Drosophila melanogaster: one gene and its partner. The protein of the gene in region 2 interacts with the protein of the main gene of each other region in a pairwise test. Each region holds a gene or a part of one and is shown on either strand. Other genes may lie near its edges.

What was found.
Region 1: the proteins of CG5334 (region 2) and Mrgn1 interact in a two-hybrid assay, tested with the Drosophila melanogaster proteins (one large-scale study listed by BioGRID).

Annotation. Positions count from the first base shown.
Region 1 is NC_004354.4:13,713,725-13,730,077, forward strand, and holds Mrgn1 (mahogunin ring finger 1), read right to left. Parts: upstream 8,254-16,353; 5' UTR 7,953-8,253; coding exon 6,694-7,952; intron 6,628-6,693; coding exon 5,687-6,627; intron 5,622-5,686; coding exon 5,452-5,621; 3' UTR 5,010-5,451; downstream 1-5,009. Other genes in the region: Nna1 carboxypeptidase, read left to right, coding at 896-1,011, 1,100-1,235, 1,309-1,887, 2,030-2,592, 2,652-3,050, 3,114-3,882; mus101 (mutagen-sensitive 101), read left to right, coding at 8,630-12,907; g (garnet), read right to left, coding at 14,308-14,890, 14,961-15,093, 15,156-15,299, 15,360-15,969, 16,036-16,353.
Region 2 is NC_004354.4:14,768,914-14,785,158, reverse strand, and holds CG5334 (uncharacterized protein), read right to left. Parts: upstream 9,852-16,245; 5' UTR 9,801-9,851; coding exon 9,168-9,800; 3' UTR 8,860-9,167; downstream 1-8,859. Other genes in the region: Ag5r2 (antigen 5-related 2), read left to right, coding at 1,153-1,670, 1,913-2,159; CG5347 (uncharacterized protein), read right to left, coding at 7,424-8,281.

The DNA of each region.
Region 1 (16,353 bases), 1.1 Mb from region 2:
AACCACACATCGACTTGTGCCGTTTCTTTTTTTTTTTATCGTTCTTGAACTATACTCGTAAATCGTTAATCGTCAATTGTCAATCGTATATCGTTTATCGCATAGAGTAATTGTAATCGCAATTATTGTTACCAACTCGTCGCTGCCTGCGTTTTGTCCCTAAAGCGCTGCTGTGCTGACCCAGAATTCAAATCCCAAATCCAAAGCCATCGACATTATCGTAAATACAATTCAACACACAACAAATACACGTCGGCCAGAGGTATATAACAGATATACATGTAGCTAAACGTATATCTGGTCATATACACCATATGCATATGTTATCCAATTAACATTACATGTATATGAGGCATTGAATTGTATGAATTTTAATGCTCTCTATTTGCGCGTATCGCAGTTTTTCTAATGTTTTTGAGCACTCAGTTGCGTGGCTAGTATATCTCTATCCACGCAATGGGTTCTTAGATTACTTCTGTAGATCTATTTATATATAATTTCATATATACATACACCCACCTGAATCCGCACAATCCTAACTATATAGTGACACACAGCACAGCATCGCCAGGCACAATAGGTCTTTTATCTTATCCTAGTCGCTCTAACTATAATTCGCGTTTCTTTCGATGTTGCTAGTCGTAAGCGTAACCGTATTATTATAACCGGAAAATATTATTTTTTGAAATAAATACCATATCTATTCATATGATTTACGTTTTTGACTTTTGCTTAGCATTAGACTTTACTGCTTTTCACACATGCTTTTAGTGATTCGCTTGATTTTTCCGCACACTTACATTGTTTTTAATTGATTACCATTTATTTTCCTATTCTTTTTTTTTAGCAAATGTATGATTTCTGACTAATCCTAATGCATTAACATTTACAATAGATTTTAAATTTACTCAAACAACAGGACAGGCTACGATCAAAAATTATCGAAAGACTGATGCGAGAAGGCTCTAGTGCCGACGAACCATTGAATATTCCCCTGTCAGATTACTCAAGGTGGGTCCATCAGTCAATCCTCTACTAACCTTAACTAATCTACTACTACTACTACTACCACCATCATATGCATTCCAACCATCATTAGCGACGAGGGCAACTGCAGCTCCAGTTCGGATAATGAGGGTAAACACTCGATAACGACATCCGATCTGGAGGGACCATGTTGTGCTCCCACCCGAGCACCGCCCAGTTCGCCTGAGGTCATACACGAAATCCGCAAGGTAAGTGGGGTTTATCCCACTAGTTTTACTGCACTGCACCTGCACCCTATTTCTACCCCAATCCGAACTACAGTTTCGCATGCGACGCATGCGCAAGGTGATGCACGAGCTGGATAGGATCTATTTTACGCCCCTGTTCCAGCGCAAATTCAAAACATTAACGACCTTGAAGAGGAGGCGTCAGAAAATGGGTGTCAAGGCGGCTCCAAGTGGAAAACGCCTTCGTGGAGGCGGTGGTCCTGCCGTTAGTGCTGCCACACCCACGCCAGCACCGGCCGTCCAAGCGGCAGCTCCAGTTGTAGAGACAAACGATGTCCAGAAATTGCATACGCCGAGACAATTGGCCAGAAGTTTGCCATCCAATAGTGATCAACCGACTGGAGGCCAGAGTTCCGACAGTTCGGAAAGCATGGATTCATCGCAATCGGAATCGCTACTGGAACCGGATGGTTCAAGTGGTAGCACCGCAGCGAGTAAAGAGGTCACAAAGAAGGTGAAGACTAGTGGTGCTGGCACAAAGAAGACGGCCAAAAAGAAGAAGTTCATGCCCACGGAGAAGAAGAAGCCGGTGGTCAATCAGAAACTTCACGTTGATCGCAATTTCCGCCTGTGGCTGGCCAATAGGCGCATCTACATCTATCGTCGTAAGAAGGTATCTATCGTAAAGGTAAAACGGTAAAAAGTTTAATATATATACCTAACATATGTTTGATACATACTTATAAGCACACAAGCACAACTAATTTAATAATTCCCCGATCTCGCCTCAAATCTCCCGCATCTAATCGGCTTAGTCCACGCAGGCGCGTCGCACTAAGGTAAGGAATAAGCCTTCAAAGAAACGTGGCGAGGTGGTGCGCACCACCCTGGACCTGCCCACAACGGATCCCGGCTCGGATCTGCACTTCTCCACCGACGACGAGGAGCACTCGCCGACGTCCGGACATAATGGTTACGGTGCAGTGCCTCCGCTCCGGCATACGCTGCTCCAGAGCGATCTGCAGAGGCGGTACATCGAGGAAATTGGCGATACGGTGGTGCAGAAACCAAAGGCGTCGCACATGCCGCCGGAACTGATTGTGACCACACCTTCGAAGAGCGGCACTCCGGGCGGTGGGAAAAAACTGGATGTCTACAAGCTGACGCCTCGAACTGCTCCAGAATTGGACACGGGTATTGGCATGATGCAACGGCAGGCCGGCGGAACTGGCACATCCGCCAGACGCACCTATTCGTGGCACAATCTCGATCAGCAGGAGATTCCCAATGGCAACGGCGGTGGTCAGGGCAAGGCCAACTTTTACATAGGCGATACCAAGCCAGGAATAAAGACGATGGCAAAACCGCTCCCCAGAAGGTGGGTATTTTTACGAATGATTTTGCGAAATCTAATTCGATTGGTTTACCTCTTTCAAGGAGTGTCCCGAGCAACTTCATTCCCCAGAGACATGGAAATGTGCAAACGGCCGATGACCTGCAGCTTAAGCTTTCGCTGAAGAAGAAAGTCTGGACTGGTGCGAACGGGGATGCGGATGGTCGCCCTCTGGCCTGGTACAAGGGTCACTCGATAACAGCATCCCAAATGGCCAACACTACGACGACCATACGAAGTGCAGGCGGTGGTGCTGCAGGAGGAGGAGGAGCTGGAGCTGGAGCTGGAGCGGGTGGAGGTGGCGGTGGTCAGAACCGAAACATGTTCCCCTCCAATGGCAGGGAGCAGACAGCTGCGTCTGGTGGCATCGCCATGGGTGTGCCACCCGCCTTTGTGGGAGCACCACGAAGAGTCAGAAAACTGGAGCAAGTTGATCTGTTCAAGTAAGTCGGGCGATTATTCCCTGGTTATTCCTCTATTAAATCTAACGTCCTTTTATATTCCAGTGCTTGTTCTCAGAAGCTGATGATGTGGCAGCAACAAGAGGAGCAACGGCGCTCCCATCCGCAACAGGCGCAGCGCCTACTGAAGGTTGAGGATCATCCGCAACATTCAAGGGACCGGGAGCAGCAGCCCTTCAAGCCCATGCACGTGGTCAGAAAGTCAACGGGAACGACCAGCCAGGCCAAAGTCATTCAGGCTTTGGTGGCAGCCGAATCCGGCGGTAAGGTGAAACGCAAGTCCAGCAGCATGATGAAGATAGCAGAGACCACGCAGCTGGTGACTCGATTCGCCCGGAATCGCAACAGCGCCGGAGGATCCGCAGCACAGCAGCAGCAGCAGCAGCAGCCACCACAACATATGCACCACCAGCATAAGCGGTTGTTGTTCAAGGGCCAAGGCGGAGTGGGGGCAATGGGCTCTCGAATGCACTCTGCCGGCGTGATGGGTAACATGCAGGGCAACGGCGGAGGACGTGCGCCCAACAAATTCAAGACCGGCGGACTTGTGATCACCGCCGTGCAGCAACCGACCAATATGACCGGTGGAGGCTCCAGGCGGATGAGAAATGCAGCCGGATTGCAGGCCAAGGGCAGCAATGGCGCCTTGGGTTCATCCACCGGTCAAATGCAATACCAGCGCAGCAATGCCAGTGTCCAGGCCAACAAATCCGCAACAGAAATCTCCATGGACGCCGTAAGTCTGGTGCGGAAGGTGAAGACCAAACTGAAGAAGCGCAAATCCCGCACTTTGTCAACCGGAGCACCGAAATAATTGACCCAGAATCTCCGCCAGGTGCATCACCGAGTTTTTTCATTCAAAATTTTAGTCAAATTTAATCCGTTTTAGACCCGTCCGTTTTTGTTACGTAAAAAAGCGATAAGAAAATGATTAGCAAAATTAACTAAATAATTGATAACACCTATAGGCGTATTTTATGCATATGTAAACCCGATCTCTGTACCTACAGTTAATCCCTAAAATATGTAATGTTGAAAGTCCTAGTGTGTGTGTTTTTTTTTTTTTTTTTTTTTGGTCGCCGAAACGTTTTCTATTGAGATTTGCAATAAAACAAACAAAATGAGAAAATGTGTGCCACTCAAGGGTGAGATATGGAAGGGGGATGGGGGTGGGCTGGGTTGGCAAATTTGGTAAATAAATAATGCTTGACCGCTGACCGAAAAATCAATTACACTACGCACATGTCCGGCAATCGCGGTGGAGGTCGAAAACTATGGCGGGGGGCGGGGATTGGGCACCAAGTGGGAGCAGGACGAGAAGGTCCTGCTTACGTACCTCCGGCAAAACTACGGTCGCTCCGTCTCAATCCTTCGCACAATCAATTCAATCAAAACAGCCACTTTACCACGCGAAAAACCACCGAAAAGAAATTCTTAAACGGGCGAAAGGTAAACAAATCCAATTGGACAATTCCAAGGGTGATCTCTAGTGATGGCAGCTCCTAGCGGCCTATCGACGCCTTTCGATAGTGTGGGCGCTGTTATCGATAGCGATTTGCAAAAGTTTTTTATTTAAATAATGCATTTAAAGTTGATATTTAATATGAAAATTGGAAATGACATTTTTCTTTTACGTATAAGTAAAAGTTTATAATTTCACTTTAACGCATAACGTAATATTAAAATTCGAATTTGAAAATATGTATGTTTGAATTAACTATTTAATACAAAAATGTGTTGGATTTATGGTTTTAAGACCACAATTTACTATTATTTTGTTACTGCGTACTGCCACATGTATTTAATGGCTTTAGATTAATATATTTGTTGCTAAATTACTTCATTCTTGCTAATTAATATTCACAAGTTACTCTTGATATTCAAGGAGTAATATATGTATATACCACACTGCCGCCCATTGATAGTGTAACTAATTTAGTTCGAATTATACTGTGGAATGTAGCGCCCTAGGCGCCGTTGTTTATTGGATTTATTTTATTTGTTATATACCCAAGCCATTATACTAGATTAAACTACATACACACACATGCATGTGGGACGTGTGTCTTTTCGTGTCTGTGGTGTTAGTGTTTGTATGTATGTATATACTGTGTATACTGGTTAAGTGTTGCGTCCTGGTAGCCTTATTCCTTGCTCCTCCTCCGTTCCATCCTTATCCGTATTATCATTATCATCATCATCATCATCATCATCATTAGCATTACCATTAATATTAATATTAATATAATCCTCAAAATATTTGTTCCTGCGAGCGGGGAAGCAGCATTGATTTAACTAAATCTAGGTGAACTCCGAATAAATAGTATAAACGCAAAGCTAAAACGAGAAAACGAATTTCCGCGAAATTCAACCGAGACCGGCTCTAAACATTGACGGCATTCTGCAGAGCTGTCTTGTCATCTACGATAATATTGGCCGCCGTAGTGGTCGGATTGGAGCTGAGCAGCTGCTTGGTGGACGAACTGGAGGAGTAGCTATCACTGGAGCTGCGCGTCGAGGCCGAGTTGCCGCTGATTGGGCTGTCCAACATGTCTGGATGGCAGTAAGATATATGTTTTAATCATGTGACAATTGGAAACCGAATCAGAAACACCAACCTGGCAGGGAGCTTACGTTGTTGGACTTCAAGTCCACAACCGTTGTCACCGATCCGGAGCCCACCATGTTGCCCACCGATGTGGACTTTTTGTGCAGGTTCTTCTTAACTGCACTACTGAAACCCACAACGACGGGTCCCACTCCAGCTTGTCCGCCCACTGATCCTGCGCTCCTGCCCACGCTGAGACCGCCATTGCCCAGACTGCCGGCGCCAAGGGGATCACCGCTTTTGGCTCGCTCCGTGGGGCACAGTGGGCTTAATATCGAATTCTGAGTATCCTCCGGCGTGTAGTAATCCGAATCCTCGGCCGTGGCCTCGGCGGGTGAGGGTGCACCGCTTCCGCTAAGTTCTGGTCTCGGTTTGGTGCGCTTTATCGACGAACCCTTCTTTAGGCTGGACTCCTCGGTCGGCCCATCACCAGTGCTGCTCTTATTATCGACATCATCATCCGCTTCCAGGCAGGCCACCACCTGCTTCAGCGATTTGCTAGAAACGTTCTTGCTCTTGCTGCCGGGTGATAGCAGAGGCGATAGCTTCTCGTTCTCACTGTCCACATCGTCATCGGTACCCGCGGAGCCATCGCCACCGGAACCGGCTGTGGATCTGGGATACTTTCGTTCGTTAACAATCTGCAGCTTGTCCTGTTTCGGTTCCGGCGAAGTGGATGCCCCCAATGTTGGCGAAGTACAGGTGGCCGTGCTGGACTTCTTCGGATCGCTTTCAATCTCCACAGAGTGTGTGGATGACCCATTGCCGCCGCCCGATTGATTGGTAATGGTGCCCACCTCACTGGTCGACGTGCACGTCGAAGCGTTTTTCTTGATCTTCGGTCGACGCTGGCTGCTGGACTTGATCGGCGATGTGGCCTTGATGTCAGCACTGGTCATTGTCGAAGCGGCCACGGTGGCAGCTGAGTCCGTGACATCGTGTTCGCTGTTCCTGAATTTTGGAAAAAAAGGCATCAGCTACGTAAGATTTATCGGTTAATTCCATTCCATAACTCACCTAGCCCTGGCCACATACTGTGGCGGTCCGTTGAGTGCCTCAATTAGTGAGACTGGAATATAGCCTGGCGGAACATCCACTGGCGCCGGCTCCCCGGCCGCCGATGTGGGCGTGTTCTGGTGCAGTACATGCGTGCTAATTCCCTTCTGGACAGCACGGATCTGAAGCAACGCCCGAAACGGAGCGCGACAAATGGGACAATTGTTGGCCTGATAGCGCAGCGAATCCGCGCATGAATTGCACAAACAGAGATGGCGGCAGGGCAGGATGAGCGTATCCCTCGTCTCACTCATGCAAATAACACACTCGCTGCCATGATCGTCGATCTCCTCGTCCAGAGACGTTTTGTTCACGGCCTTGTTCTCGATGCCATAGATCTCCTGTAGCAGGTAGCACAAGCCATCCACAAAGATCTTTTGCTTCAATGCACGCAGCACATAGCTGCCGTTTTCCGGATGATGATCGATCACACAGATGGTGGTGTGCGATTGCCGACACTCGTCGCTGCCCTCCTCCACCACACAGTGAATGGCCACGGGATACTGTTCACGGCCGGGACTATAGCCCAGTTCATCCTCGGGCATCTGCTGCGGATTGAAGACATGGCTCGGCTGCGAGAAGCACTGATTGATGCCCTTCTCGTAGTGGTACGTCTCCGAGGTGAGACCCTCGCGCGGCACCAGTGTCACGCCGCTGGGACTGACATCCTCCGAGCAGAAATAGTAAATGGTAATGGCGCACTTGGCGTCCGAGTCAAAGGTAAACTCGATGTTGTAAGAGCAGGGCGGCGGTGGGGGCGTCATATCGGCATCACCGCCACCCAAACCCATCGAGCAGAGCACATTTCCATCCACATCCTCGATGGTCACGTTGGACTTCTCCTTGTCCAGATCCAAGTCCCGATCAATCTCCTTCATCTTGGGCTTCTCGAGTACACCGCCCAGCTTCTTGTCGTTCATCGTCTTGACGAAACGCACCGACTCCTTGCGAATGTTGACCAGACTCTTCAGGGTCTTCGTCGGTTCATTGGCCTGCGGCGGGGGATACGGAAAGGCTGTGGGTCGATTGCCCAGGAAATTGAGATCCGCATTCTCGCCAAACAAGTACGATTCCGGTTGGGGCGTGTCGAAGCGCTCGCCGCCCATGATGAAGTGGGTGCCAAAGAAGTTACCCATTCTCGGTGGATACTTGTAGGCATTGTTCGTGCTCGGATCGGCCTCCTCCACCGCCGCGTTCTGTCTGCTCACAAAGTTGCCCATTTGATAGGTTGGTGCTATGGAAAACTGTGACACAGATCCAATATAGCTCTTGGCCTACGTTTTCTCTTCGCTTTGGTTTAGTTTATTATTCTATTTCAGTTGGTCACCACCACACATACAATGGCATGTTGGCATTTCACTTGTTCGGCGGAAAATGGCCGCTGTGTGTGTGTGAGTGTGCGAAAGCTGTGGTCGCCTTCAAGTGTTGGATCCTGTGTCCACAAAACTAGCAATAGTACAAGTTGGTCAATGTCTTGATTATTTCTGATTTGCCTTTCCTTTCTTCTTTCTTCCTTTCTTTTAGGGCTGAGCTGCCGTCGACGACGTGGATATCGATATTTCGCTTAATGAAATATATCGATAGCTTAAACCAAAACTGATAAATAACTGCTTATTTTCGAAATATTTTATTTATTTGATAAAAAGTAAATAAAAAATCCTTACATCTTAGAGATAAATAATTAAAATTACCCATACACATTATTTTTTAATTCGCCGTCGGCGTTGCCACATAGCTCAACTCGTAGTTGCCAACTAATCACAAGCCAGCGTTGCCAACGGTTTGAAGGCAATAACAAACGGCGCCAAAATAGCGTACGCGAAAAAAAGTGCAGTGCGAAAATCACGGCAATTTTGCAGCGCATCACGGAGCAGAGAACACACTCGCAACCGCCATCATGAGCATAAGCATGAGCATGGACGAGACCATCTGCGCGTACTTCGTGAACAATCTGAAGCCGGGCGACGGTGGCGTCCAGGAGGCCGACACACTGCAGCAATTCGAGGCGGCGCGGGAGCTACTGGGCCAACAGTTGGCGGAAACGCAGATCCGGCAAATAAAGCCAAGCGAAGGATATCCCCTGATCGCAGCCGGTAACCTTACCAAGAAGGACGTCTTTGTGCTGACCCAGTTCGAGGGCGAATTCTTCGAGCAATTGCAGCAGACGCGAGCACTAATTCTGGGGCCACCGTGCCTCATCACCTGCCTGCGGCGCAATGAACCCATTCCCGAGGGCAGCAGTGCCATCTACAGCACGGCCATGCGGGATCTGCAGGTCTCGGCCACGGGCATAACACCACAGAAGAAAGAGGAATTGAGCAGGCTCATAAACTGGATGGGCGGCATATACTTTCAAAGCTTCGGGCATCGCACCACCCACCTCATTTCGAACACCATCAAGTCCAGCAAGTACGAGCAGGCAACGCTGAACGGAGTACCCGTAATGCACGTCGACTGGGTGCAGTACGTCTGGGATCAGAGTCGTCGCAGCCAGCGCGAGGGCATCATGGCCACGGATCCTGATTTCGATAAGTATCGCCTGCCCATTTTCTTTGGTGCGAATATCACGTGCAGTGGATTGGATGTGGCGCGCAAGGATCAAGTTATGCGGCTGGTCAACGATAATGGAGGCATCTATCATCGTGCCTTTCGCTCCCAGGTGGTGGACATCGTCATCACCGAGCAAACAAAAACGGACACCGAGAAGTATAAGGCAGCCATACGCTACAAGAAGGATGTCTTGCTGCCGGAATGGATCTTCGATAGCTGCAATCGCGGCTACGCTCTGCCCACAAAGGACTATGAGGTGCGGCCTGGCAAGACGTCGTCCACACCCACCAAGACCACTCGTCCGGGCGCAGCTCCCGGTGCAGATCAAACGCACCTCTCGGATCTCTCACGTATCAGCTTCGTCTCCGGCTCGCGTCGCATGTGCAGCGATCTTAGTACCGTCAACGAATCCGTCAGCAGTGTGGGCAGCAGTTCGCCCGCCAAGCAGCTGCTCAAGCAGGCGACTAGCAGTGGCCGCAACTACCAGCAGGTGCTGGCCGAGATTGAACCGCGTCAGGCGAAAAAAGCGGGCGCCTTTCTGGATGGCTGCTGTGTGTATTTGAGTGGCTTCCGCTCAGAGGAGCGTGAGAAGCTAAACAGAGTGCTGAATACGGGCGGAGCGACCCGCTACGATGAGGCCAATGAGGGCATCTCACACATCATTGTGGGCCAACTGGATGACGCCGAATACCGACAGTGGCAGCGCGATGGTCTCATGGGTTCAGTTCATGTGGTGCGCCTAGATTGGCTGCTGGAGAGCATTCGAGCTGGTCGCGTGGTCAGTGAGTTGGTGCATCGTGTGTCGATGCCACAGAATCGAGAACCAGACGTTGCCTCTCCTGCCAGCAAGCGAACACTGCGCTCCATGAACCACAGCTTCAAGCAGCCAACATTGCCCATCAAGAAGAAGCTTTTCGATCAGGAACCGGATCCCGTGCAGGAACAGGAGCACGAGGAGCCGGATCATACGCTGCTGGATCAGTACTCACAGGATCAAGGAGCAGTGGCACAACTGCCACCGGCAGATGTTAGTCTCCTTCAACCAGCGGCAAGTTCCACCCAAATGGATATACGCCAGCGAGTCTCGGTAGCCAATCCAAAACCACCCGCTGAGGGTTTGCAATTGCCGGATCTCAGTGCCAGCACTCTATCCATTGATTTCGATAAGCTGGACTACTTCGCCGGTGTCTCTGTTTATGTGCACAGGGAGTGTTTCAACGAGGAGTTCTTCAACCAAATGCTAACCGAATGCGAAGCTGCCCAAGGCTTATTGGTGCCATCGAGTTTCTCCGATGAAGTGGATTTCGCCATTGTCAGCTTTGAGGTAGCCTTCGATGTGAAGCAATTACCCGTCAAGGCCCGCCATGTGGTCACCGAACTGTTCCTGGAAAGCTGTATGAAAAAGAATCAACTGCTGCCCATCGAATATTACCACAAACATGTGCCGGCTACCGCACTGCGTCAGCCGCTTAAGGGAATGACTATTGTCGTATCCATTTATGCAGGATTGGAGCGGGACTTTATTAATGCGACAGCAGAACTACTTGGCGCCTCCGTCAATAAGACATTCATCAAGAAGGAGAAACCGCTGCTGGTGTGTCCCAGTGCCGAGGGCTCCAAGTATGAAGGTGCCATCAAATGGAACTATCCCGTAGTCACATCCGATTGGCTGGTGCAGTGCGCCCGCACTGGTCAGAAGCTGCCCTTCGTTGGATATTTGGTGGGCAAGAGTCCCGAGGATTTCCCCATATCGCCACGCTTGCGGGACAGCAATAGCCGGACAGCAAGAAGACCGAATGAATCCACATTGGTGGCTCAACCGGATGTAACCATGGAGGAGGCCGAGAACCAACCGGCGGGATCTGTCACACCAGTTACTGCTGGCAGTCCAGGAGCTCCTGAACTGACGCCCCTGCGCAACAAGAGAGTTTCCGAGCTAGCTGGAATACCAGGAGGCAGTGCTCTTCATCGTGGCAGCAACTCCACATCTTCTCCGGACTCACCATGCACGCCACTTAGCCAGGTGGGTGCCCAGCAGTACAATCTGGACTTCCTAGAGCAATTCGTTCAACGCCTGGATACAGAAGAGGGCAAGGATTGTGTGCGCGAGATTATCCGTGAAATGCGCGAGAATCAAACGCCGGAATTGGAACGCATTCGACGGCAGGCCTGCACGCCCGTCAGTCGTAAGCATCAACGACCAGCACCGGGAATTCCAGATTTTTGTCTCACTCCCGAGTTCCAGCAGCGGATGGCCGATGATTTTGAGCGGCGCTGGCGCCTACCCACCATGAAAATCAAACCAGACACACCGTTGGCCGTCATCAGGCAGCGCGTGATGCGGATCACATGCGAAACTCTGGGCATCGAATATGAAGAAAGTAATGCTAAGACGCCAACGCTATCGGAATCGCCATCAACGGTAAAGAAGAAGCCGCCAACCAGGACGACGCAGGCCACCAAACTCAACTTTGATAGATCACCGAAAACACCGAAGCTATCGCTAGGTAAAAAGACGCCACTCCGGGTGTCCATGGGTTCACCCCGCAGCGGAACGCAATCACCCTTCGTACCGAACACACAGAGTCCAATCGAAGCAGCGCCGCCACGGCGTTCAGATGGTCCAACGTTAAGCGAGGAAGGTCAGAGCACTATTAACTTTGACAAGATTAGCTTCGAGGAGTCGGCCGTGCCCGTATTGGCCCCAGATGTTCCCACAGTGGCGCCAGATGTCAAGCAAATCACCGACTATCTAAAGAACTGCGAATCGCGAAGGAACAGTCTGAAGCGTAGCCACGACAACGACATGGATTGCGGCGAGAGCGAGGTGCAGTATGTGCAGCCCTTCGAGTCCGAGGGCTTCGCCCTGGGCACCGAGGACATGGTCGACTGGCGCGATCCGGCGGAGTTCAATGCGGCAAAGAGAAGATCCTCTGGCGGTTCGCCCAAGATGCAGTATGCTGGCATACCGTGCTTCAGCATCTCGTGCGGTGATGATGACGAAAAGCGGGCGGAACTAATCGCGCGGATCACCCAACTGGGCGGAAAAGTGTGCGAGAATCTGGTGAACTATGACGATAGCTGCACCCATCTGCTGTGCGAGCGTCCGAATCGCGGCGAGAAGATGCTGGCCTGCATTGCGGCCGGGAAATGGATACTAAATATCCAGTATATCGAACAGTCGCATGCGCGTGGCGACTTTCTGGACGAAACGCTGTACGAATGGGGCAACCCGAAGGCCATTAACTTGCCCACCCTGGCACCGGAGGAGGAGCCCATCGCTGCCGCCGTCCACCGTTGGCGCACGGAGTTGAGTGCGTGCGGCGGTGGCGCCTTCTCCGATCACCGGGTTATACTCAGCATGAACGAGAGGAGCGGGGCGCCCATCAGGAATGTGCTGCGTGCCGGCGGCGCTTGCATCCTGGAGCCAACAACTCCGTTCTCCAAAGATCCTGTGGCCAAAAGTGCCAGCCATTGTTTTGTCGATGTGAAGAAGGCGCCGCTGTCGACCCAGGACATGGAGTATCTTCACAAATGTGGTGTGCAGGTGCTCAGCCAGATTGCCATCAACGCATATTTGATGAACGGCAGGGATGCCGATCTGGGAAAGTACCAGCTCCTTTGAACGAATCATTAGATTCTTTGTACATGCATTGGATTTTTTTTTTTGTTCCTGTTCTATATTTTGATATTTTGTGGTTATATAAAAGTTATTGAATTAAAGCCTTCAAAGGTTTAATTTAAAATAGGTCTAGTTTAATCAGTTGTAAGTGTAATTTTGAATTTTTGATTTGTGTCCTTTTCTTTTGGTTACTGAAAAAAATCATAATATTTGGAAGCCTTTAGCGTAATGAATTACTAATAAATTAATATCGTTAATTAACTTCAAAATAAACGAACTGAAATTGAAGTCCATTTGATAATTGTATTTAGTGATTTATTTCTAAAGGTGTTGTTGAAAATTAATTCTAAGTCAAAGCGCAAATTATTTTAGAATGAAATTTGACGATTATCTATTTTTTTATTGAAGCTACCTTATTAAGTTTATTTCCATTATTAATTTCATTCCAACTTCAATTTAATAAACAAAATGTAATATTAAAAACCTAAAGAAATTCTATTTTTTTCATCCCGATTTCGATCAATTACATTATTTATTTTCCGCAGCCAAATTAAACAATAAATCAATATGCAAGTGTATTGTACTTTTCATTTATTTAACGTTTATATATTTGTATGTGGGCTTGTGTGTGTGTTTGTATATAATATGCATGTATGTATGTATAATTTCACTTAGCTTCAGTTTTTGTTTTTGTTTTTTTTAGTAATTATGTTGTATAGCAGTACTTTATATTTGATTCATACGGCTTCACATGTATACATATATAATTTGTTTTTACAATCCATGCTGTTTGTTCTATTCTCTGTGTGGGATTCATTATAAAATTCCATTTTATATAACTATAGCTATATAATTGTCTGTGTTTGTGGGTGTGTTTTTTTTTGTTTTTGTTTATTAGTGGAATCTCATGCTCTAGGCAACAAATTCATCAAAAATAGATAGTATCCAGGAATCGATCTGCATCGCATGGCATTCTGGTTGCCAGTTGATCTGTTTCTCATATTCATTTTCGATTTTTTGCAGCTTTCTTCATGTTTTAAGCCGCAATTGGCAGACTGGCGGCATTTTACATTTTAAAATTACACTTCTATATATTAATAATTATTTATATATGTATGCATATATATATATATATATATATATATACGGTTTATGTGGATTTATTTTTTAGCATATCAATTTGTTCAATGTTGGTTTTGTTTGTTTTTTATATCGCAGCGATAATTTTTTTAGGTTTTTTTCATTCTCTTAGGAGGCAATTGTTTCAACTTAACGAAAATGGAGAGATTCTGAAGCTAGCTTCGCCTCTCACAAAATTTCCGAATAAAGGCTTAATAATCAATCGACACAAAAAACAATCGTAATAATGATTAATTAGATTAGTGGAACTTGGAGCTTAGCAATTACAAAATCTCTTTGCTGGGCGTTGAGATTCCCAGTGGCTGTTCGTAGTCGCCAATCGAAACGATGGCGGATACGGATGCAGATTCTGAAGCCTTCTTCTTCTCCTTGCGCTGTGACTTCTCCTTTTTATGCTTCTTCTTGTGCACCTTGGACGCCACCTCGGATGCCTCCTCGCCGCCCACATCGATGATGCTGCTCCCGGTGGCGGTGGCCAGTGCATCAGGCGCTTCATCCGTCGTCTTCTCCTTGTTCTTCTTCTTTTTGTGATGCTTGGGCGCATCTGGAAGGACAGTTGAAGTGTTGTTGTTGTTGCTGGTGGCGGAGATGTGGCTGGGACTGGGAGTGGGCGTGTCGGCGTCAATGAGATCGATCACCGACTGAACAGCAGCCTCCTTGCGTTCCCGCTTGCTCTCCCGATGCTCCCGCTTCACCTTCCTCTCCTTGTCCTTGTCCTTGTCCTTTTTCCTATCCTTCTTGGCGGCGTTACCACCGCCGGCCGAATCCGCCGGCGTCTTGAGATTCTCTTTGTCCGCCGCTGACTTTTTGGACGCTGACCTCACCGCGGGCGCCTCGAACTCCGTACTGTAAGGAGATTTATAAAAATACAATTAGCCTTTTTTTAATTCTGCGCAGCTTTCAGCTCGTTGATTACATGTCCAATTCAATGTCCAGGGCTCGATGCGGATCATTTGGATCGTATTTGCCATCCTTGTCCTCGCTGTCCGACATGGAGACACCTTCGGGCATGTCTAGCGTGGTGTTCACAATGTGCAAGGGTTTCGGTTCTGCAAAGTGTTGAAGTTAGAAGTCATTGTAATGCGACACAACATTGTTAACTCCGGCTTACCACCTTCCGATTCGGAGCTGCTGTTGTATGCCACTTTATTTTTGGCCTTTTTGCTCTTTTTACCCTTTTTATGCTTCTTCTTGCCATCCTTGCTGCCCTGCGCCGCCTGCTGTTCCTGCAGGTACTTATCCGACCGCTTGGTGACTACAAAAACAGATAACTTGATACATCGCTGTTTGTGTATAATCACTGCGCATAACTTACTGCCCACGCGCAGTGCGGCCACGCCCTCCATGTCCAGTGGCAGCTCCGTAATGGGTATGTCATCAATATTGTCATACTGATCCGCATTCGAGGCACCACTCGCCGTGGGCGTGGACTTGAGGTAGTGAGGATTGTTCGACTGCTCAATGAGACGAGCCATTCGCTGCCGCTCCAGTTGCTCAGGCGTGAGCTCGAGACTCTGTCGCCGCTTTTCGCCGCCATCAGCTCCCGTTCCTGCCTGCGTGGCACTAACGAATAGCTCGTCCTTGTCGTGCTCCGAGGATGAACTGCTTGCCGCATCTTCCGGTGGCGGTGCATTAATCCACTCGTCCAGATCGAGACCATCTGGCAGGGGCACCTTCCGTTGCGCCTTGGGCGCCACCGGTATTAGCTCGCCTGTGAACAGCAGCGTCATCTCCTGGACAATCTCAATGGCCAGCGGCGGAATGCCGCCCTCCGTCGTCGTGTCCATGGCCATGGCATCGGTCGACGTGGACAGCTGGTTGCGCAGCATCTCGATCAGCATGCAAGCGGAATTGGCTCGCTCTTGCACCTCAATGTCGCTGGAACCATTGAAGTGCTGAAGCTTGTCCAACACATGGTCGCAGAGCTACCAATGATAATGGTAATACTCAGAATACAATCATTTGAAAATACGTATAGAGAGAGCACTTACTGTCACCAAGCCAGGCAGATCCTGAAGCTCTAAACACGTGGTGGCCAGGCGAGCGAACAGCTTAATCACGTTCTGCACATAGACACCCTGGATGTGACCGGGCAATAGCCTCGGACGGAGCAGGATGTTGAGCGTCTTCTCCGCATCCTCCAGTTCGCCAGCAAACTCGCCAACGATCCAGGCGGCGGCGTAGAGCACCTCGTACATGGAATTACTTTGCGCCGAAACGGTGAACGTGTCCAGCAGATTGGTCATCTCGTTGACGGCAAATTGCCGAACAACAGGCACTCGAATGGCCACGTCAAGTAGTTGCTCTGC
Region 2 (16,245 bases):
TTATGCAGCATATCTGTAACATTCCTATTAGTTTTAAAATACAAATACGGGATAAATTCTAAAAATATAATATAAATTAATTGTAACATACCAATTAATGAGTAAGACGGGGACTTAAGCGAAACAGCTAAGCTCTTATCTCTTGTCTATTTAAAAAAGTTAAGATAAACGATTTCAGATGAAGGCTCGTCTTGGATGTAAGAAATCTTCTTCTAGGAATTGTAGTATATGACCTGATAAGATAAAAACATAAATAACTCATACCTCAAATATAGGAAGAGCCCATTTTAATCTGTAATATTCCAATTCGCGATATGTATCTGTTTTTATTTATTTATTTATTTGATTTGACCATACTACCACAATGAATTGTGCAAGTATACATGTAAGGAAACTGATATCGTTATTTAATTATATTTGTTTCTTTTTTTTTGATTTCTTGTACCTTTGTTTATCTGAGTTTTGATAAAGAATGAAAACAAACTAATAAAACGTAATAAATACGGTGGTTTTATTTAAACGGGGCCATATTTTTAATACTAATTAAGCTTATCTATCACCAAGCTTGAAGCTGACAGTAAACTTATGCACGGGTACCTGCAACTAAGGAAGTGCTCCATAAATTGAAACTCAATCAGTTTTGATAACAATCCAATTACCAGTCAGAAAAGTCTGCACGAGAAAACGACCTACCCCAATAGGTTGAATCACCTGATCGATATCGAAGCAAGAAAGAACGCTATATGATCTCGACTATCAGATACCCGTTAAATAAAGAGAAATTTCAACGTTCTAATGAAACACAGATAGGAATTTATGGCTTAGAGAACTATTTTTCTGTGAATTCAGATCTATGTACATATATTTAGTTAACTTGAATGGACTGAATATGGATTGAATATGTACAAAATACATATATTTTATTTCTTTCATTTCCCACATCTATATAGTTAGTTCCCAGAACTAAATACACCAAGAGTTAGTCCGTCGTAAATATAGGAGTGGCGATTAGATTAGGCCATTGGAATGATTTATATTTGCACTCGATTAATTTCTTCCAATCAACAATGCTCCAATCAGCCCCTTATAAACACATTGCCAGACGATCCAAGCAATAGATCGCCTTTGGGTGTTAATCGCAACAAAGGCAATATGAAACTCGCTCTGCTTGCCATCCTGATCGTTTCCTTGGCCCTGGCCCAGGCCACCGACTATTGTTCGTCGGACATCTGCAACGGTGGCTCCCACATCGCCTGTGGGCATAGCAACTGGTGGGACAGTAGCTGTCCCGGCGATGCCGAGCTGATCGACATCAACGATGACTACAAGTGGGTCTTTGTCCACTCGCACAACGACAAGAGGAACTACATTGCCGGTGGCTACGATTCCAATCACAATGCCGCCTGCCGTATGGCCACCATGGAGTGGGACGATGAGCTGGCCTATCTGGCCTCCCTGAATGTGCGCCAGTGCAACATGGTGCACGATAGCTGCCACAACACCGACGCCTTCAAGTACTCCGGCCAGAATCTGGCATGGCAGGCCTACTCCGGCGACCTGCCCGACATGGGCTACATCCTGGACAACAGCGTGCAGATGTGGTTCGATGAGGTGCACAACTCCAACGCCGGTATTATTGCCGGCGGATACCCATCCGGATATAACGGACCGTAAGTTTGTCTTTGGTTAGATTTGGCCTAACGCTATAGGAAATACCTTTATTACCATTATTTTTTTTTCTGTGAAATATCAAAAAGAACGTAAGAACTAGTGGTCTTTCATATTCATTTTGTATAAGTGTTTAGTGATTATTATTAAGAAACTTAATGATCGAATTGTGAAACAAATGTGACATGCTGTCTGATCGATTTAATTAAGTATTAATAATTTTAACTCCCACCTAATCCCCAAGTGCCATTGGCCACTTCACCGTGATGATGTCGGAGAGGAACACCCGCTTGGGATGTGCTGCTGCTCGGTACAATCGCGATGGATGGAACCAAGTGCTGGTGGCCTGCAACTATGCTACCACCAATATGATCGGACGCCAGATCTACTCCAGCTGTGACTGGGGAGCACAGGGCTGCGGATCGGGCACCAATGGCGAGTTTGGTAACCTCTGCTCAACATCCGAGTGGTACGACGTGAACAGCTGGTAAATCTAGCAAATTCAAAGTGCACAATTAAAAGCTATTTCAAAAGATTATATTCGAGAAAAATGTTTTCAATTATAATTCAGGTGGGTGGTATGTTCACAATATCGTAATATCAATTTGGCTATCTTAGTTGTTTTATTAGATGCAAGTACGAAAAATTTTAAAACATTAAGTCCAGAAAAAAAATTCGGCATTCCACAGTCTTCGGGTGGAGACGTGTTTCTTTCAAGCTACGAATAGCAAGTTCTAAAAACTACAACAGTATAGTGAAAGTTAAACACAAAGTGTAAAGTGCAGTTTGCACAACTAACAATTATTGACTATAGTAATTATTTACTAAAATAAATAATTATTCCATATTGTTCTGGTAATTGTTATATGTGGACTTAGAACAATGAATCAAAACGACATACGTTCTCAGCGACAATGTGAACAAGACGAGCGCCGGCTCTCTTTACAACGCAACAATGCATACTTTTCTTTCGTCTCACCGCAAATCGGTGATCGAGCACCCTCACCTTCAACTAACTCGAAACTTTTGCCCTCAGCGAACGACAGACCGCGTTCTTGCTCTCCCTCTCTGCCTGCTTCGGCTCACAAGTCGTGGAGCGAAGAGACCGCCTCTCCTACCCCGCTCCTCTCGCAGCGCCAAACGACCGTCCCGGGTAACTGTAACACTGCAATAACGAGTGCAGTGACCTCACTGGCAACTGCCACAACATCAACTTCGTCAGCGGCCCAACTAATTATCGCTGTGCCAGCTGTAAATAATTCAGCAGCACTGACCGTTTGCAACAACAATAATGCACGTAAAGAAGAATCAAAACAAAAGCAGAAGTCGATTTCGACTGTGCAGACTGGCATGGATCGCTACATCCAAATCAAGAGAAAGCTCAGCCCTCAAAACAATAAGGCAGGTAATCAACCCAAAATCAATCGAACCAACAACGGCAATGAAAACTCTGCAGTAAATAATTCAAACCGATATGCTATCTTGGCTGATTCTGCGACCGAACAACCCAACGAAAAAACGGTAGGGGAACCAAAAAAGACCAGGCCTCCACCAATTTTCATACGAGAACAAAGTACAAATGCACTTGTAAATAAACTCGTTGCTTTGATTGGTGACAGCAAGTTCCACATTATCCCACTTAAAAAAGGAAATATTCATGAAATAAAACTACAGATCCAAACAGAAGCAGACCACCGTATAGTGACTAAATACCTAAATGATGCTGGTAAAAACTACTACACATACCAATTAAAAAGTTGCAAAGGGCTACAGGTAGTACTTAAGGGCATTGAAGCAACAGTGACACCAGCTGAGATAATTGAGGCTCTGAAGGCCAAAAACTTTTCTGCAAAGACAGCTATTAATATTTTAAACAAAGACAAAGTTCCGCAGCCACTATTCAAAATAGAACTCGAACCAGAGCTCCAGGCACTAAAGAAAAACGAAGTGCACCCAATATACAATTTACAGTACTTGCTACATCGGAGGATCACCGTGGAGGAGCCGCACAAACGTATCAATCCAGTTCAATGTACTAATTGCCAAGAATACGGCCACACCAAGGCATACTGCACCCTTAAGTCCGTATGTGTTGTCTGTAGCGAACCTCATACTACCGCAAACTGCCCCAAAAACAAGGACGATAAGTCTGTGAAGAAATGCAGTAACTGCGGGGAAAAACATACTGCAAACTACAGAGGCTGTGTGGTGTACAAAGAATTGAAGAGCCGCCTAAACAAACGTATTGCCACAGCACATACATACAACAAAGTCAATTTCTACTCTCCGCAACCGATTTTTCAACCACCCCTAACTGTCCCAAGCACTACTCCAACAATTTCTTTCGCTAGCGCCCTAAAATCCGGACTAGAAGTGCCCGCCCCACCGACAAGAACTGCTCATTCCGAACATACACCGACAAACATCCAACAAACACAACAAAGTGGCATCGAAGCTATGATGCTATCCCTACAGCAAAGCATGAAAGACTTCATGACGTTCATGCAAAATACTTTGCAAGAGCTCATGAAAAACCAAAATATCCTGATTCAACTTCTTGTATCTTCAAAATCCCCATAATGGCTTCCCTACGGATATCTCTGTGGAACGCAAATGGCGTTTCACGGCATACACAAGAGCTCACACAGTTCATTTACGAAAAAAACATCGACGTAATGCTACTATCAGAAACGCACCTCACAAATAAAAACAATTTTCATATACCAGGATACTTGTTCTATGGTACAAATCATCCAGATGGTAAAGCTCATGGAGGCACTGGAATACTCATCAGAAATCGCATAAAACACCACCACTTAAACAATTTTGACAAAAACTACTTACAATCTACGTCCATAGCCTTACAACTCAACAATGGTTCAACGACTCTAGCCGCAGTCTACTGCCCACCGCGCTTTCCAATCTCTGAGGATCAATTCATGGAATTCTTTAACACACTAGGTGACAGGTTCATCGCAGCGGGTGACTATAACGCCAAGCACACCCATTGGGGATCTCGACTTGTGTCGCCAAAGGGTAAGCAATTGTACAATGCGCTTACGAAGCCAGAAAACAAGCTAGACTATGTATCCCCGGGTAAGCCTACATACTGGCCAGCAGACCCAAGAAAAATCCCAGACCTGATCGATTTTGCAATTACTAAACATGTCCCCCGCAACATGGTCACCGCCGAAGCACTAGCAGATTTATCATCAGATCACTCACCTGTTTTTCTAAATATGCTAACTCGCCCCCACATCGTCGACCCACCGTATAGACTCACAAATTTTAGAACAAACTGGCCAAGGTATCAAAAGTATGTCTGTTCACACATAGAACTAACGACGGCATTATCTACAAAGGAGGATATAGACAAGTCAACGGAAACTCTTGAAAACATTTTAGTTTCGGCTGCAAAGGCTTCAACCCCGCCAGTGACGTATGCAAAACCAAACTACATCAAAACTAATCGCGAAATCGAGCGGCTGGTATTAGATAAACGACGCCTACGAAGGGATTGGCAGTCTAATAGATCACCAATTACTAAGCACATGCTTAAGATAGCCACACGCAGGCTTACCAATGCTCTCAAACAAGAGGAAAAAAACAGCCAACGTTCATATATCGAGCAACTCTCTCCCACCAGCACTAAGTACCCTCTTTGGAGAGCTCACAGAAACCTAAAGACTCCAATAGCGCCAATTATGCCACTACGAAGTCCCTCTGGCACCTGGTTTCGAAGTGATGAAGAAAGAGCCAGTGCTTTCGCTGACCATTTACAAAATGTATTCCGACCAAATCCCTCTACCAACACATTTATTCTCCCTCCTTTAATAGCAGCCAATCTAGATCCTCAAGAACCCCTTGAATTCCGACCATGTGAACTAGCAAAGGTTATCAAAGAGCAACTGAACCCAAGAAAATCGCCTGGCTACGACCTAATAACTCCAAGAATGCTCATTGAACTCCCAAAGTGTGCTATTCTTCACATCTGCCTGTTGTTCAACGCAATCGCCAAGCTTGGATACTTCCCTCAAAAATGGAAAAAGTCGACCATAGTAATGATTCCAAAGCCAGGAAAAGATAAAACGCAGCCATCATCATATAGACCGATAAGCTTACTAACATGTCTTTCAAAGCTGTTTGAAAAAATGCTACTCCTTCGGATTAGCCCTCATCTTAGAATAAACAACACACTTCCAACACATCAATTTGGCTTTAGAGAAAAACATGGAACCATCGAACAGGTCAACCGAATCACGTCAGAAATTCGTACTGCTTTTGAACATCGAGAATACTGCACAGCCATTTTTCTAGACGTCGCGCAGGCATTTGACAGAGTGTGGCTCGATGGACTTTTGTTTAAAATAATCAAGCTGTTGCCCCAAAACACACATAAGCTACTGAAGTCATACCTATATAACAGAGTGTTTGCAATAAGATGCGATACAAGCACTTCACGCGATTGCGCAATCGAAGCTGGAGTGCCGCAAGGCAGTGTACTGGGTCCAATCTTATACACCCTGTATACGGCGGATTTCCCCATAGACTACAATCTAACAACCTCCACGTTCGCTGATGATACCGCGATACTCAGTCGCTCGAAATGCCCAATAAAAGCCACGGCACTCCTATCCCGACACTTAACATCTGTAGAACGATGGCTTGCCGACTGGAGAATTTCAATAAATGTTCAAAAATGCAAGCAGGTTACCTTTACCTTAAACAAACAAACATGCCCACCACTGGTCTTGAATAACAAATGCATTCCACAAGCCGACGAGGTAACATATCTGGGAGTTCATCTGGACAGGCGGCTCACTTGGCGCAAACATATAGAAGCCAAATCGAAACATCTTAAACTTAAAGCAAGGAACCTCCACTGGCTCATAAATGCTCGCTCTCCACTTAGTCTGGAGTTCAAAGCTCTTCTATACAACTCCGTCTTAAAACCTATCTGGACTTATGGCTCCGAGCTGTGGGGCAACGCATCCAGAAGTAACATAGACATTATTCAGCGAGCACAGTCAAGAATTCTGAGAATTATCACTGGAGCGCCGTGGTACCTTCGGAACGAAAACATACACAGAGACCTAAAAATCAAATTAGTAATCGAAGTAATAGCTGAGAAAAAAACGAAGTATAACGAAAAGCTGACCACCCATACAAATCCCCTCGCAAGAAAACTAATCCGAGTATGCAGTCAAAGCCGGCTGCACCGCAACGACCTCCCAGCCCAGCAATAAACTTATTAGGGCATTAATGAAAAAAAAAACTATCACTAAGTGAAAGTTAATTAAGTTAGATTAAGATTTGAACACTTATTGTTAGTCTCTTAACACAAAGGGAAGATTCAATAAATAATAAAAATTAAAAAAAAAAAAAAAAAAAAAAAAAAAAAAAGGTCCAGAAAAGACAATTACGTAAACAAAAATTTTGTAAGGGTTCTATTGCTAAATGTTTGAAATCGGCTATATTGGGATATAATGTACTAAATTGGTCGATATGTGGATGAACGAAGCTATATTAAGCTCAGTGTTGTACATTATAGTCTCTGGCAAGGACCAAGACTAAGTCTATAAACCGTGTCTCCTCAGCCGTCTAACAAAAGTTGCTTTGTTCTCTTTGATTTTCTTTGAAATGGACGTATCGCTCGAGTCACTGAGAAATTGATCGATCAAATTGAAATTCAGTCGATCGGTCAAATGCCATGAATGGTATTTCATTAAAATCAATAGTCATATTGTCATAGCCATCAGTCTGAATTGACGGCATTTGATTGTGTCTGGTTATCGTCACAACGACGATGGTGCCTGTAGAAGCACTTGTTTCCAAAGGGACATTTGCCCAAGCCCCCATTGAAGTACTTGCAATCCTTGGCGCCCATTGCCGCGCGATATTCGCTTAGCAACTTGTCCTTCTCCTCCTTTGTATCCACCCAGTAGGCACTAGGGCACACGAATTCCGAAAAGACGCGACATTCGGGGCAACCACGCGTCACAGTGGCCTCAAATTGATGGGCCTGACGCCATGTGCGAATGCACGTCAAACAGAATATGTGCTTGCACTTGGACAAGATGCCAAAGCGACGTTCACGTCCCTTCTTCTCCACGACGGTATCGAAACAAATGCCGCACATCTTGTCCTTGGATCTGGCTATTGCAAAAGATAGCTCCATCGCCTGCTCGTGCTGCTCCAGACACTCACGATTGTGCGCACGGCGTTGGTTCTGATCCATCGGGTGGAGGCAGTAAAGGTCGCACATCTTGCAAATCTCCATGTGAAGTGGATACGAGCACTTACTGCCCCAGATACAGCTGCCACCATATGGACAAATATCCTGGACACCTTCAGTTGCTTGGAAATCGGCAGAATTGGCTTTGTACCTGGGAACAAACTCTGGTGCATTTGCCCAGGTCATCTGGCGACTGTAGCTACTGGTGGAGGCCACCACTTGCTCATTCTCCACGACTTCATCCGCGATTTCCGATATCTGCGGACTCTGGTTGTCATTTGGTGTCGTCTCGTCGTGCGAGAATCGGCATAAATCACCAAAACGACAAATTCCAAGCAAATGGAAGCGACAGATTGTTTGACTACGGCGATACGACATTATGATGAAAGTATTTTTGAGAACTTTATTTTTTGGTTTTTAAATAGCGTTGTAAAATTTAAAAAAAAATATACTTTTTTTCGTGTAAAATTTTTGAACAATTTCTCGGCAATACTATCCTTCTGAAATAACTTTTAGCGACTGATTTAAAAATAGGTATTAAATTCTAAGGCGACTAAGCTAGAAATATGTCAAAGAGAATAAAAAGATAGTTGACGCTAAAATGAAAGCATTCTTTTAATGCATTAAAATAAATAATTATGCAATTTGTAATTAAGAAATTGCACTAGATTTCGAATGATTATATTTTAGACCATTTGAGATTTTTTTCTGTGATTTTAAAAAATTTTAAGAAATATCAAAAAGAAACTAAAATCCACAGAAGACTTAGTGGTCTTTCATATTCATTTTGTACAAGTGTTGAGTGATATTCACAATTATATGGATTTGTGTTTAAGAAACTTAATGATATTATTGTGAAACTGATGTGATGTGCTAATAATTTTAACTCCCACCTATTTTCCAGTGCTATTGGCCACTTCACCGTGACGATGTCGGAGACATCTAAACAAAAATTTGGTGCTTGAGTATTTGTTTTATTTTGTAAGGGTTATATTGCTAAATGCTTGAATTCGGCTATATGGGGATAGTAATGCACTAAATTGGTCGATATGTGGATGAACGAAGCTATATTAAGCTCAGTGTTGTACATTATAGTCTCTGGCAAGGACCAAGACTAAGTCTATAAACCGTGTCTCCTCAGCCGTCTAACAAAAGTTGCTTTGTTCTCTTTGATTTGCTTTGAAATGAACGTATCGCTCGAGTCACTGAGAAATGGGATCGACCGGTCACATGCCATGTCATGTCATCATTAAAATCAATATATTTAAAAGTCGTCATCCTCCATTGAATGCCGTTGAATGCGGTTATCACCCGCCAGAGAACGGTGATTGTAGAAGCAATTTGTTCCAAAGGGACATTTGCCCAAGCCCCCATTGAAGTACTTGCAATCCTTGGCGCCCATTGCCGCGCGATATTCGCTTAGCAACTTGTCCTTCTCCTCCTTTGTATCCACCCAGTAGGCACTAGGGCACACGAATTCCGAGAAGACGCGACATTCGGGGCAACCACGCTTCACATTGTCCTCGATATACTCGGCCTGACGCCATCTGCGAATGCACGTCAAACAGAATATGTGCTTGCACTTAGGCAGGATGCCAAAGCGACATTCACGCCCCCTCTTCTTCACGACGGTTTCCAAACAAATGCCGCACATCTTGTCCTGGGATTTGGCTATTGCAAAGGATAGCTTCATCTCCTCTGTTGCATTTGCCCCGGTCATCGGCCGACTGTACCTGTTTGCATGCCCCACGACTTCATCCGCATTGTTTGATATCTGCGGCCTCAGGTTGTCATTTTGTAACACATCGTGTGAGTATCGGCATAAATCATCGAAACGACAATTTCCACGCAATCGATAGCGACAGATTTTATGAAGATTTTGCCGAGAAGACGTCATTATGATGAAACTAATTTTTGGGACCTATTTTTGGTTTTTAAAAAGCGTAGCAAAATTAAACAAAAAAAAAAAAAAACAATTATACTCTTTTTCGTGTGCAATTTTTGAACAATTTCTCGGCAAAACTATCCTTCTGAAATAACTTATTGCGACTGCTATCCAAATAAGTATAGAATACAATGACGACTGAGCTACAAAGCTGTCTACGAAAATGAAAAGATTGTTGACGCTAAAATCAAAGCATTTTGTGATTTTCTAAAACTTTACATGCATTAATATAAATAATTATGCAATTACTAATGAAGAAATCGTACTAGAATTCGAATGGTTCCATTTTAGCCCATTTGTAACCCTTTGAGATTTTGAAGAAAACACATTTTCGTACTGAATTCCTTTAAGACTTTTTCCCTAGGCTTTGGTTGCATCAATCTGTATGGTCGCCTCTTGAACCCACCATTCCCAGTCAAGTGCCCAAGCTGAATCCCCATCGGCGGTGTAATCTCCAACTGACTGACTGGCTCAACAGTTGTCGCGATTGATTTGGCAACTGGGTATTGGTTATAGGGTATTGGGTATTGAGTATTGAGTATATTGACTATTGGTTGTCGCAGCTTACGAAATTCCACAGACGACTTGCGGCATTGCCATTGCCACATCAACGAGTCTCTTTTGCTTCCAGAAACTGTTGTCTTGTACAACCGATTAAGTTGGCAAGTGAATTTTGGGGTGAATCCCCCCAGTGTTTCCGTCATGCGGATTGTTGTTATATGCCGAATTTGTCGTAGAATGTCTTGGTAATCAATTTATGTGCTCCGTCGTTCGTCGCTAGTTTTTGGGTGGTTTAAGCACCGCCATTCGGCAGATGCCGCAAGCCGCAAGCTTTTTTGCCATCTTAATGCGGGATGAGAACGGAGATGTGGGATGCAGATGGGTGCGGGCATAGGGATAGCTATGAGCTTGGGTATTCACCTGCGGAATTCACAACGATAACTTCCACTCCAAATCCGCCTGGAGGCCATCAACTTTGACGGCCTGTCTTTGGTGTCTCGCTGTCGATGTGGTGGTGGTGCCTCTGTCTATCTGTCAGTAGCCTGTTGGCCGTCTACTTCGTCCTGTTGCTCGTCGTTCTGCACTCTAAATAAATTTCATGAAATTAAAGCTGAAGTTCCCATGCGAGCTCAGTCTTCAGTCGCCTTCATTGTTGTCATTATAAAGTCCAAAAATTATTTTAGTAACACTGTTCATCAAAAGATTTTTTTTTTAGTATGTGCAACATGCGGAAAAAATGTTTAAGCTAAATATATATTCCTCTCAAGATAAGAGATTAGATTCTAAAAAAAAATGTTGATATATTCTTTATATAGTTTATTTCAAAATATATATTTTACATTACATTTAAACATTTTATTAGAAAATACAATCGCTGTTAAATGTATACAATTACAATTTTGGTAAGCTTAAAGAAATGGGTTTTTTTTTTTCAGTGCCCTTGTCTTCCGTTTTGGCGTACGTGAAAATGAAGCATTTTCCATTTGATGATAACAAAACATGTTTGGCATATTGATGAACGCCTCGAGAGAATGGGTGTCCCTATCCAGTGCCCGTGCTCAGCTCTCAGCTACACCACCGCCTCCATCACCATCCTGGCCTCTCCTGGCGGCACATTTCAGCACATCTTGCGGCAAGGACTCGAATTAGGCGGCAGCTTCAGCTGAGTTCCATGCTCGATTTTAATGATGTGACTGACGGACAGCCACCGAAAAATATGTGTACTTTACTGCTGCTGCTTCAATGTTTCGTGATGGTATACACCCATATCTACCCCCTCGTATTATTTTTCCCTGGCATTTGCTTTTGCTTACTTTTCATAACTACCCGCCGTGTAGAAGCGTTTGGCAGCCTGTTTATATATGCGGGCTCCAACGTTTGTTTGCTTTTTGGAATACGTGATTCGCCCACGGTGCGGATGTGGTATGTGGGTGGCATCATCACAGCATTCGCAGTGAAAATATAAATAATAATAAAAATAATTTCTCACTTCATTTGTTGCACAAATCGAAAATAAGCTTGGGCGAAATCGAAGTCCGTTCGTGTCTGATGAGTTTCGTTACTGTGGATTTCGACCTTCGATTTATGTCTGGAATGCCAATTTGCCCACACTGCGTATGTGTACTATCCTTATTTTTTGCCAATAAACTTTAACCATACCACGCACATAAAATATATACCTAATGCTCAGGCTAGCTAATGAATAAATGGACGTTTGAATAAATTACTTAATCAGTTTATTCATGGCTTGATTTGATGGATTGAAATGTGCGCCTGCGAATAAATTAAGAGTTCAGATTATTGTGGAGGAAACTACTTACTAGTTTGCTTTGATATATGCATCCAATAAATATTTCAGTCCACAAAAATATATCAATATGAAATTTCTCTGCTAAAAAGTTTTTCAAATTCGATTACAGCAAATTGTCAGCTGAATCTTATACCGCATTAAATGTAATTTAAATAACCAACAACGTGTGACAAATATTTTATATGAAAGTTAGCGCTTTTGAACATTCAGTTATCTTATATATATTTAAGTCTTGCACAGGAAGCATTAAAAAGGTTGATATCAGGAAGCCAAATGACGGCAAGATAGTAGAAAATTGAGACTGCCAAGTCAAAAGAGCTTGTATATATTTATTATGGTTGGCTGAAAAGCAAACTGTTTAGCAGTTAGATAGATGATCATAAATGCAATCAAAATTAAAAGTAAATATTTTCGAGACATTTTTTTTTAAATTATTAAATAATGAATAACATAGTCTCTTGCATTCATTCGTTATAACTTTGAATGGAGCGTGTAATATCTTGTAAGCCGTGCCTGTGACAATTATAAGTGTAGAGCTCACTCACACTTTTCAACAACCGCGCAGATATCTTCAGTGAAAATATTAAATTAGCTGCCAAGTTGTGAGCCAATTTCAATTTGTGCTCCGCGTGCCAAACAGATTTTAAGCCATCTCAGACCTCGGTGCTTTTCTTTTGCCATGCCTTCCATAATTTTTTTTCTCCTTTTTGCCCCGTGTCGTTGACACTTTGAGTGTGTGTGTGTGTGTGTGTGTGCGTGTGTTGGATGCCTTGTGTGCGAGTATGTGTGTTTTAGCTGCACGACGTAGCATACTTTAGAGCGCTGCCATTCATTAATCAAGTTCAGGGTACTTTAAAGTGGTCGCTTAGCCTCGACTCTGTCACTTGGAGCTGAAAACTGAACTGAAGCTGAATCTGAATCTGCCAACGGAAATGGGTTTATTCTTGCCCCGGAGGCAGCACCACAAACGCACACATGTGTGGTCAAAAAATATGAGGAACTTTGCAAGAAATTGAAATTGAAATAAATGCATTTATTGTCTTAAAATTTAACTGAAAAATTGCAAGAAATTAACCTCGTATAACAAGAGCTGTTTGGAAGTTCGGAAGTTCGCAGATGGAATTGTTGCTCAAAAAAGAATACTAATTTTACTCCCAATCAAATCATAAAAAGTAATTTAAATGAATTATATTAAAACGCAGCAATAACAGCTTATAGATTGTCTTTTATTAGATTAAATAATTGATTCAACTTATACTCTTGTACTCTTTTTGCATTGCATACTTTTAGGCGGCGGCGGTTTGTGTTTCCACACAATTTTTGAGTTGGACTAGCGTTTTATAAACATTAACAAGGTGACAAAAAAAAAATACAAATAAAATAAATCGCTGGAAAACCATATAACTTTTCCTGCAGCCCAAATAATGCGTACAATTATATCAATTGTTACATTTAATGGCTTACTTTAGTGCGACCTCCGGCGCACTTAGCATGGTGTGAACTGTACCCTCCGGACTCAGGTTAGCAGGATCCCCACCTTCTTCTTTTTTTTTTGTTTGTTTGGTGCCCTGTGTGCACAATAGAGACAATATTGCCGGCATTTACATATAAATATTTATTGTCTTCCATGGCCCCAAGTTGCATGTGAGCGGTCAATTTAACACGAAACAACGGAGCATTTCTGGACAGGACTTCCCCAAGGGGTTATATCTTGCTCGTTTTTTTTTCCTGCTTATATTTATATATATATATATTTTTTTTTTTGGTGGTGGTGGTGGTGATAAGGGGCTGCTGTTGTTGTTCCAGTGGCCCCCTTTTGTTTGCACTTTGGATGCTGCCAAGATGGTGTAGATGGGGCTGGAGGCTGGGCTGAGTTTAGGGTATTTCTTTGGCTTTTTTTTATGACGACTATCAACGCTTATTGTGGGCAGGATGTGTGGGCTGCTTGAACTCCCCCGAGGATTTGTTTGGCCTGTCCTCCGGCTTTATTATTTCATCATTATAACATTTCCTCTATATGGGCCAACGTACATACATATGTATGTATGTACATATGTGCAGTGAGGAAAATAAGAGCACTGAGAATATTTCTTTAAAGGATTATATATAAAGGTTATATATATATATAGAGTCTCTATCGATTTCGAACTTGTTGCGGTCTTGCCGACCGATAAAAGAATTGCCAGCTAGAACTAAATCGAAATAAAATAGTACAATAATGGCTATTGAACATGGTATATAAATATATATCTAATATTAATAGAATTAAAACAAGAGAGACTGCTATAGGCGAGTTCCCGACTATCAGATACCCTTTACCCAGCTAGTGTGAATGCGAAATTTCATCATTTGCTGGGATATCGATAGATATTGCGGGATAAAATGAGAAAAAAATTTAAATTGTTCCAAAGATGTAGGCGTAAGTGTGGGCGTGGCAACATGGGTCACTTCTGTATGTTGAATCTTGATATGGCCAGATCGACTCGGCTATTGATCCCGATCAAGAATATATATACTTTGTATGGTCGAAATCGAAACCATTTTACCCTACGAGTAACGGGTATTAAAATGTAGTTTTTTTTCTTTTTCAAATATTTTCTGGTCCAAATCGTTGACACATTAAAAGCAGCTTGACTGTATGCGACCCCACTAACTTTACTATTAATAAATTGCATACACATAGCTTATAATTTGTTTACCCAACAAATGATACAACAACGATTTGCAAACCGTTTTCCCAGTCAGATTGTGCTGTCATGGGCATTTGGCATTCTGATTGTTGTTATTTATTTACTTGTTCTTTATTGTTGCTGCCAATTATATTGGTCACTAGCAAAGTACAAGGGCATAAGCTATTCGCAAATATAATAGAGTTATTTTTTTTTTTTACTAACATTTGAGGTAAATATTCGCAAATTAATTTGACTGAACGGGAGTTTTTTTCTGCAGATATTTTAAATAAAAATAAGAACAAAAATGTTCGTTATTATTATTTATGTATTCTATTTGCACCCCTTTAAAGGTAAAGCTGTAATTGGTTTTTATTTCGAAATAAATCGAATTAAATGAAAAAGCACTCTTTTTTTTGCCCTATATTCTACTCTGTATTAATTTCTCTCGCTACTTTTTGCCCAACTAACCCATTAAATCATCAAATGTGCGTTGTCAACTGGCCCAAAGGCGTTGGACAAAATTAGATACCAATTGTGACTCAAGTTGGCCATTATTGTTGGCACTTCCATTGAGGCATTTCGTTTGGGCTGTTAGCTCTCAAGCGAAAATTGTTGCGCTGTACCAACTTTTAACACCGATTTCTTATTAAAAGAAACCCAAACCCGATGTTTATATATTATTGATGTGTCGGTGAATTACTGTATCGCAAATGAAATTGTGTGATATGATTGGTAAGTTCAATAGGTTTATATGACATTTGCTGGAGAGAAATGGGTATATGGATTTGTAATGTGGTTTGACAATTAAACAAAAATATGTTACATTAAAAAAAATAATTAAGGTGTAAGGAATAAAAAGTATAATTCTAAAAACATAGCTTGCATTATAAGTTAAGTTAAAAAAAAACATTTAAATTCTATTTAAATTAAACAACATTCACTTATGTTAATAACCTAACAAATTGTACCTTCTAACCTTTTAGCAAAACTTAAATAATATTATATAGTTTAAGCATAAGTTAATTTCTGAACCAAATATGCATGGTATTTCGGTTAACCCAAATCATAATTCAACCTTGTTTCGGATATTTATTTTTCATCGAGTCTAAGCCAAATAAGAAAACATGTTTACCTTTTTCTTGACGCAAAGGTAACTTCGTTGTTTGTTTTGCTCTTTGATCGTCGCTTAATAATTACCTTTCAAATTTATATGCAAAATTCAATCGATTCGGTTAATTAGCGACAACACAATTAACTAATTGGCCAACGGCGCTCTCAAGTGATCGAGAGAAAGTGTGTAAAGAGAATTTGTTTATATTACAAAACGAATTGGGTGAAAATGATGTATGATAACCGAATAACATGGCTTATATAAGACGACTTAGGGGCTTCCGAGCAACAAAAAAAAAAAAAA